Diceros bicornis minor: one gene and its partner. The protein of the gene in region 1 interacts with the protein of each later gene in a pairwise test. Links are inferred from orthologs where the notes say so. Each region holds a gene or a part of one and is shown in the gene's direction. Other genes may lie near its edges.

Region 1 (3,743 bases):
GTTTCACTATCCATCCTCCTCTTGATGGACATTCAGGCTATTTCCAATTTCTTGTTGTCACCTCATTGCTGCCATAAAGATCCTTCATCAGGCTTCTTGTGTACATATAAGAATGGTTTTTACATTTTTAAAGGGTTGGGGGGAAAAAGGGCAAAAGAGACCCTATGCATAACATGCCTAAAATATTTACTATCTGGACCTTTATAGAAGAAGTTGGTTGACTGCAAGGCAAGTGGCACACAGAAGCGCCACCCCTCCCATTTCACCCGTGGGAAAGCTTTGACCCAGAGAGGAGAAGGGACTTGTCCTCTCACGGCCTGAGGAGACACCCAGAAAAATAATTATAACCTAGGTGGATCAGGATTCACGATCTCTCAGTAGGATAGAAGGGGACAGGATTACTCAATTCTTCAGAGAAGAATGAACGTCAGAGCATGGTCTAGAAGGATGAGGGAAAGGTCAGAGGCATCCGGGCGGAGGACCCTGCTTGGACAAAGGCTGGGAAGCTTGATTGCCTCACTTAGTAGCTGGGCCCTGAGAATTGGTGGTTTTACACTCCCACCTTGCACTCAAGCGCTACTGGGGTTCTGGGGGCTCAGGCAAGGGGGCTATAGCCCATATTTATTCCCTCTCTCCTGGCCTCAGTTTACCTATTTGTAAATGTCTAACAAGATTTCCTAAACTCCTGCCCCTGGCTAGGGCACCTTACGCGGGCCAGGTGGCGCTCTACGGGAGGGGTGTGACCACATGCGTGACGTCACGTGGGGCGTGGCCTGCGGGACCCGCTGCGGAAGCCTCGGAGGGTGTCAGGGCTCAGCGGGTAGCCGGCGCGTGGGGGAGGGGGCTCCCAGGAGCTGGCACTAGGGAGGGTCTCGTCGCCTCGGTGCCCTCCCATTGCTGGATGATCCCGCCATGCTCCGCGGGCGAAACTGAGTCACGGCGGGGCGTGCGTGGGGAGGGGGCCAGGGGCTTTATCCACACGGGGACCTGGAGTCCCACCCCCACCCAGGTCCAGCACCGCCCCCACCCCCTCCCGCCCCCACCCTGCGGCTGTGAGTCAGCGGCCGGCCGCGCCCCCTCGGCCCACTTCCTCCTCACCTTCCCGGGCCGGGCGGGGGGCAGTGAGCGGGAGGGGGCCCTCCTCGCCCATCCCCCACCTGTGCAGGGGAGGGGGCTCACCCCTGAGTAACCCCTCCTAAATTGGCGGAGATGAGAGACCTTGGGGGGCGGGGTCCGACGGGAGGATTTAAGGGAGAAAATTGGAGAGACTATGCTACACCAGAGGGTCCTCCTTGCCCCCCTGCTAAATGAGCAGAATGTAAAGAAATGCAGAAGTCGATAGGGAGGTGGGGAGGGTGAGAACAAATTGTGACCCCATTGAGATCCTCCTAGGAATTTCCCCGGTGGGAGGGAACGAGAGATCAAGGAAGGATCCCTTCCCCTCCACCAAGCTCCCCCTCTAATGTGGGGGCGAGCCCCAGCGTGCACCCCTATGCAATAGTGTTGGGGCAGGGGCAAATAGCGGAAGGCTGGGGTTCCGCGTTGCCCTTTTAAGCGCCCTCCAGCCTCCCACCCCGCCGCCTGGAGGTGTCGACGGCCCCTTTAAGACGCAGGGCATTGTGGGTGCGGGGAGTGGAATTTTGGAACGAAATGTAGCGAAGAGAAGTACAGTAGTAAGAGTAACGTTGTAGCCGCCGCCGGCCGAGGAGGCGCGCCGGGGAGGGGACGCCGCACCCCCTTTCTGCCGCAGGGACCCCCCCATCACACCCCCAGAGGGAGGAGGCGCCCGAGGACCCGCCCCGGCCCACGTTCCCCCCAGGAAGCCGGACTCTATGGGGCGGGACCCTGGGGGAGACTGAGCAGAGCCTGGAGCCAGCCCCGAACCCCTGAACCTCAAGCCCGGGGCGCCCCGGGAGCAGCCAGCCCGTGGGCGCGCCGCCCGCCCGCCGAGCAGCCATGAGGTGAGCCTGGATCTGCCCCCAGCCCCTTCCCCGCCCGGCGCGGGCTCCCCGCCCCGCCTTTGTCCCCCTCCCCCCCAGCTTGCTCCGGGCTCGAATTTGGGGACAGGGCATGGGGAGCCTCGGATCTGAGGTCGAGCCCCCTGGGACGAGCTCCAAATACTGGCCGCTTCCCCGTGACTCCCCAGGCTCGGGGTGGTGCCGGTGAGCTTCTCCTGGGAGCCCTCGGATTTGGGGGCGCTCCGAGGACTCTCGGATTTTTTTCAAGACTTTTTCAGAGGACCTCCAAGTTGGCAGCTACTCCCCGCTGGGAGGCCAGGGTTCAGGCAGGGCTCAGACTCGCCTCCAAATCTCAACTCGGGCTCCGGGAGGGATTGTAGGGGGCCGGTTTGGGGGTCCTGGAAGAGAGATTGAGACGTAGAGCTTGGTTTGCGGGGTGCCCCTTTACGTGGTGCTGGGAAAAGTCTTCCCAAGTGGGACCTCGCTCCTGAACTTCGGGGGTACTTAACCCTCTCAATTTGGGGGTGCTCTCGTCCTCCTGGAAGAGGTTGGTGCCGACGGATCCAGGGACTCAGACGCAGCCTGGAGGGTCTGGTGGGACCCCCCTCCCCCACTGCTCCCCACCCACGATCTGCTGAGACGGGCTGTGCCTAGGACTGAGCGAGCGCTCCGTGCGGAGGGCGGCGCCCCGGCCACGGGCCAGCAGGGCGGCCCTCTCCCCCACCTGCCCGGCCCTGGGGAGGGAAGGGGCGCGGCAGCTGGGGGAATGGGGGCCTTTGTCTTCCTGACTCACCTGTCGAGACAGCTGGTGTTTGGGGGGCGGGCAAGGAGCGCTGTGGGCCGGCTGCTCTCCCCACCACGGCGCCTCCCCCTTCTCTCACCACCGCCCCCCCACCCTAGCCATCCGGAGCTGTGGGGTTGGAGGAGGGGCGCTGGAAGGCTTCAAGGTCATAGCCCTCTCCCCCTGGGACCCAGGCTTCCCAGATAGTTCCAGCTCTCTTCCCAGGAATTGAACACTGGGGGTGGGGGACCCAAGGATTTTGTCTTGGGTCCCTCAAAAGTCCTGGGCTCACCTGAGGGCGGGGCCCGTGCGGACTGGGGGACCGGACTAGGCCCCCCCATTCTCCCCTCTCACTGACCCCCCATAATCTCTCCCTTGAGGCCTGAGCCTGACAATACTATCTCCCTTCCTCCACTCTCTCAGGGACTTCCTGCCCCAAAGCCCCCAGCTTGAGGGGGGAGGCCCCTGGAGACCGATAGGGATTAACCCCGTGGTGCCCACATCCTCCCACTTCCCCATTCCCCCTACCCCTGCCATCTGACATCAAGGTGGCCTGCCTTTTTATGACTGTCAGAGAATCCCCTTCCCCCATTTGTTCCTTCTGATGTGAAAGGAAGTGTTGGAAAATTGGGAGCAAGGGGCACCCACAGACACCCTCAAGACTTCCTGCCTACCCTTTTCTCATACAGCAACATGCCTTCAAGGTCTGCCCTGGAGAGGGGGCCGTGGTCAGGAGCCTCTTCCTTCACCCTCTTCCCCGGGGACTCTCCTCTCCCACTGCCCCCCAGCCCTGCCCCTCGCCCCCCTCTCCCCGCGTTTCCGGTCCCAGGCACCGCGGTGGAAGGCGGATGGCGGATGTCCGAGCGAGGGCTGCCTCACTCGGAGACCGTAAAAGGGCAGGAGCAATGTCTGGGCCGGCCTCCCACCCCCCTCCAGCCTCGAGGCCCTGGCCCTCCCACAGGGCCCCCCTACTGCTGGCCGGGCGGAACCTCCCACCTCCTGGG
Region 2 (3,743 bases), on another chromosome or scaffold:
AGTGTCCGGGGGGAGGGTCGGGGAGTGTCCGGGGAGAGGGTCGGGGAGAGGGTCGGGGAGGAGGTCGGGGGGAGTGTCCGGGGAGAGGGTCGGGGAGGGGGTCCGGGGAGGGGGTCGGGGGGGAGTGTCCGGGGAGAGGGTCGGGGAGGGCGTCCGGGGAGGGGGTCGGGGGGAGTGTCCGGGGAGAGGGTCGGGGAGGGGGTCCGGGGAGGGGGTCCGGGGAGGGGGTCGGGGGGAGTGTCCGGGGGGAGGGTCGGGGAGTGTCCGGGGAGAGGGTCGGGGAGAGGGTCGGGGAGGAGGTCGGGGGGAGTGTCCGGGGAGAGGGTCGGGGAGGGGGTCCGGGGAGGGGGTCGGGGGGAGGGTCGGGGAGGGGGTCCGGGGAGGGGGTCGGGGGGAGTGTCCGGGGAGGGGATCGGGGCGAGGGTCCGGGGAGAGGCCTGGGGAGGTAGTCCGAGGGGAGGGTCCGGGGGGAGTGCCGGGGAGAGGGTCGGGGAGGGGGTCCGAGGGGAAGGTCCAGGGAGAGGATCAGGGGAGGGGCTCCGGGGGAGGTCTGAGGAGAGGGTCCTGCGGGAGGGTGGGGGGGAGGGGGCTCCGGGCCGCGCGGCCGCCCGGAGATCTCGGCCGGAGCCCCTCGTGAGGGCGGGCTCCTCACGCCCCGCTCGCGGTGACGGCGCCAGGGTCGCCGGAAACGGGGCGACGATGAGTCCTCCCTCCTAGAGACCCGCCTCCCCCGAACCCGCCACCGGAACGCAGACGCCCCTCACCCGGAGTCACCCGGAGTCCCCGCCAGCCCCCTGGGCCTGCGCGGGAGAGAAGGACGGCGCGTGAGGCCAATGAGAGCCTGCGCGCCCGCCCGCCGTCCAATCGGCGGCTGCGCAGGGCGGGGCCGGGCGGGCGGCGAGCGGGCGGCGGGGTGCGGGCCCTCGCAGAGCCGGAGAGAGCGAGCGGCAGAGCGCGGTGCGGGAGGGGACGCGGGAGGCGCCGGGAAGGCCCGCCGAGGCTGCCCAGCCGGAGGCCGCCGGCCCGATGGAGGAGATGGAGGAAGAGCTCAAGTGCCCGGTGTGCGGCTCCTTCTACCGCGAGCCCATCCTGCTGCCCTGCTCGCACAACCTGTGCCAGGCGTGCGCCCGCAACATCCTGGTGCAGACGCCCGAGGCCGAGTCCCCGCGCAGCCGGCGCGCCTCGGGCTCCGGCGCCTCCGACTACGACTACCTGGACCTGGACAAGATGAGCCTCTACAGCGAGGCGGACAGCGGCTACGGCTCCTACGGCGGCTTCGCCAGCGCGCCCACCACGCCGAGCCAGAAGTCCCCCAACGGCGTGCGCGTCTTCCCGCCCGCCGTGCCGCCGCCCGCCGCCCACCTGTCGCCCGCGCTGGCCCCGGTGCCCCGCAACTCGTGCATCACCTGCCCGCAGTGCCACCGCAGCCTGGTGCTGGACGACCGGGGGCTGCGCGGCTTCCCCAAGAACCGCGTGCTGGAGGGCGTCATCGACCGCTACCAGCAGAGCAAGGCCGCGGCGCTCAAGTGCCAGCTCTGCGAGAAGGCGCCCAAGGAGGCTACCGTCATGTGCGAGCAGTGCGACGTCTTCTACTGCGACCCGTGCCGCCTGCGCTGCCACCCGCCGCGCGGGCCGCTGGCCAAGCACCGGCTGGTGCCCCCGGCGCAGGGCCGCGTGAGCCGGCGGCTGAGCCCGCGCAAGGTGTCCACCTGCACGGACCACGAGCTGGAGAACCTCAGCATGTACTGCGTGCAGTGCAAGGTGCCGGTGTGCTACCAGTGCCTGGAGGAGGGCAAGCACTCCAGCCACGAGGTCAAGGCTCTGGGGGCCATGTGGAAGCTGCACAAGGTGAGCTGCGGCCGGTCCGCGCGCTGCGCCCCCGCCGGGCCCGGTCCCCGCCCGCTGCAGTGCGGGGAGCGCGGGGGCGTCGAGCGTCCCCCAGAGCGGCTGCGGGCTGCCTCGGGGCGGGGCTGCGCCCCGGCGTGCGGGAGGGCGCTGCTCCCCGGGCCGAGCGGGCGCGGGCCCCGGCGGGCGGGGGAGTCTCAGCGGGGGCGCCGGGCGGGGACGGGAGGCCCGCGGGCGCAGTGCCGAAGATCGATCGGGGACGCGGTCCCGGCCGGGCGCTCCGGGCGGAGCGGCGGGCGCGGTGGGGGTCGCCGCACCAGCCGGCGTGAAGGGGTCCCGGTCTGAACGCCAGGCGAGTGTGTCCCCCGGGTGACCCCCCTCCAGCCGCCCACGCGCCCGTGTGTCCAGGGTTCAACCCCTGTCTCCCAGTAGCGTCTGCGAACTGTGGCACACCCGTTACCAACCTTGTCTTCCTGGTCTCTCGTTGGCACCTCCACCAAAGCCGCTTCAAGGAGAGAGCCTTCAACAACGTGTCAGGTCCTGCCACTCCTCTGCTCAAAACCCTCCAGTGGCCCCCAAGTTTCTTAGACTGTCCTGAGAATAGGCCACCAGCACCTCCACGACCTGTTCCCCTTTGACCTCATCGATCTCATTTCCTCCCACTCTGTTCCTGTGCTGCAGCCACACCAGCACCTTTCAGCTCCAGGGCCTTTGCATCTGGTGTTCATGCAGCTTGAGACGCTTCCCGATACCCTGTATCAGGATGGCTCACTCCTGCCTTCTTCAGATCGTGGCTCAGATGTCGTCTTTGCAGTGAGACCCTTCTGACCACAGTTGCTGCTTCGCATCTCAGACACCTCTTGGTTTGCTCCCTGCTTTGTTTTTCTCAGTAGTCCTCAGCACTAACTGGCATGCTATATATTTTAATTATCACGTTACTTTTGTGTTTATCTATTGCTACCCCCCGACACACACACACAAAATAAGCTTCATGAGGAAAGAGATCTTTATAGCATTATGCCCACGCTGCTCAGAAGGAAGGGAACCACTCTTGAGATGTGCATAAATTTGACTTTTACTTTTCAAATAATCCACTTACCTCGGGGTGTGAAGGGCAGGGCAGGGGTTCAGCACCATTGTAGGGAGGTTTTCTTCACTCACTGGGTCACAAGCCCAGGGATGAGGCAGGGAGGTAAGGACGGTGCTCAGGCCTCAGCTGCGCCCGGCTCAGGGTCCCCCAGCATTCCTTGGAGACTAGAAAGGCTGGCCTTTGAGAGGCCATTGATACTTTATTTACAGCAAGAAAGAAAAAAATCACCATTTTCAGCAATCGAGGAGGTTTTCTCAACTCAGTATTAATTGGATGTGATCAGTGTTTACAATCATTTGTGTTCTCACATATAAGCCGTTAAACCACGTTAGTCCTGATGGAGATTTAATTCAGCACAAATTTGAGTTCCATAAGGCACACGCCACTATTTTTAAAACACTTGAATTTAAATTTTTTTAAATGACATTTAATTTTGAAAGTTTTCAAAACTTCAGTTCACAGCCAGCTTTTTCTTCCTATTATGATTTCACTCTTAAACTGCTAATTATAGCTTTTGTTGAATTGCCCTACAAAACTATCCTTGGAACTAAGAAATGAATCACCCTGCCTGGAAAAAGAACTGAGAGTCACAGGCTAATTAGGATGGTCAAACCACAGCATTATTTTTCTGTGAAGAAGAGCCTATACGTTATCCATTAAGACCAAAAGCAACCTTTAAATCTCTGTCCAGCTCATGTAGATTTGAAATGTTAAACCATTTGTTTTCTCAGTAATGGAAGTTGTGAGTTGAGACTGTGGTGAGGACTGGGTTGAAATTTGGATGTCTGCTAAAAAAGAATAATGTTCG

The links. The genes of interacting proteins can lie anywhere in the genome.
Region 2: the proteins of VASP (region 1) and TRIM9 interact in binary tests that used the Homo sapiens proteins (3 or more experiments, as listed by UniProt). The two-hybrid records come from large-scale screens. The link is inferred for Diceros bicornis minor from reciprocal best matches to the Homo sapiens genes VASP and TRIM9.

What each region holds. Positions count from the first base shown.
Region 1 is NC_080773.1:19,741,610-19,745,352, forward strand, and holds the start of VASP (vasodilator-stimulated phosphoprotein), read left to right. Parts: upstream 1-1,234; 5' UTR 1,235-1,956; coding exon 1,957-1,961; intron 1,962-3,743. UniProt on the Homo sapiens protein: Ena/VASP proteins are actin-associated proteins involved in a range of processes dependent on cytoskeleton remodeling and cell polarity such as axon guidance, lamellipodial and filopodial dynamics, platelet activation and cell migration.
Region 2 is NC_080744.1:1,168,208-1,171,950, forward strand, and holds the start of TRIM9 (E3 ubiquitin-protein ligase TRIM9), read left to right. Parts: upstream 1-941; 5' UTR 942-1,026; coding exon 1,027-1,848; intron 1,849-3,743. UniProt on the Homo sapiens protein: E3 ubiquitin-protein ligase which ubiquitinates itself in cooperation with an E2 enzyme UBE2D2/UBC4 and serves as a targeting signal for proteasomal degradation.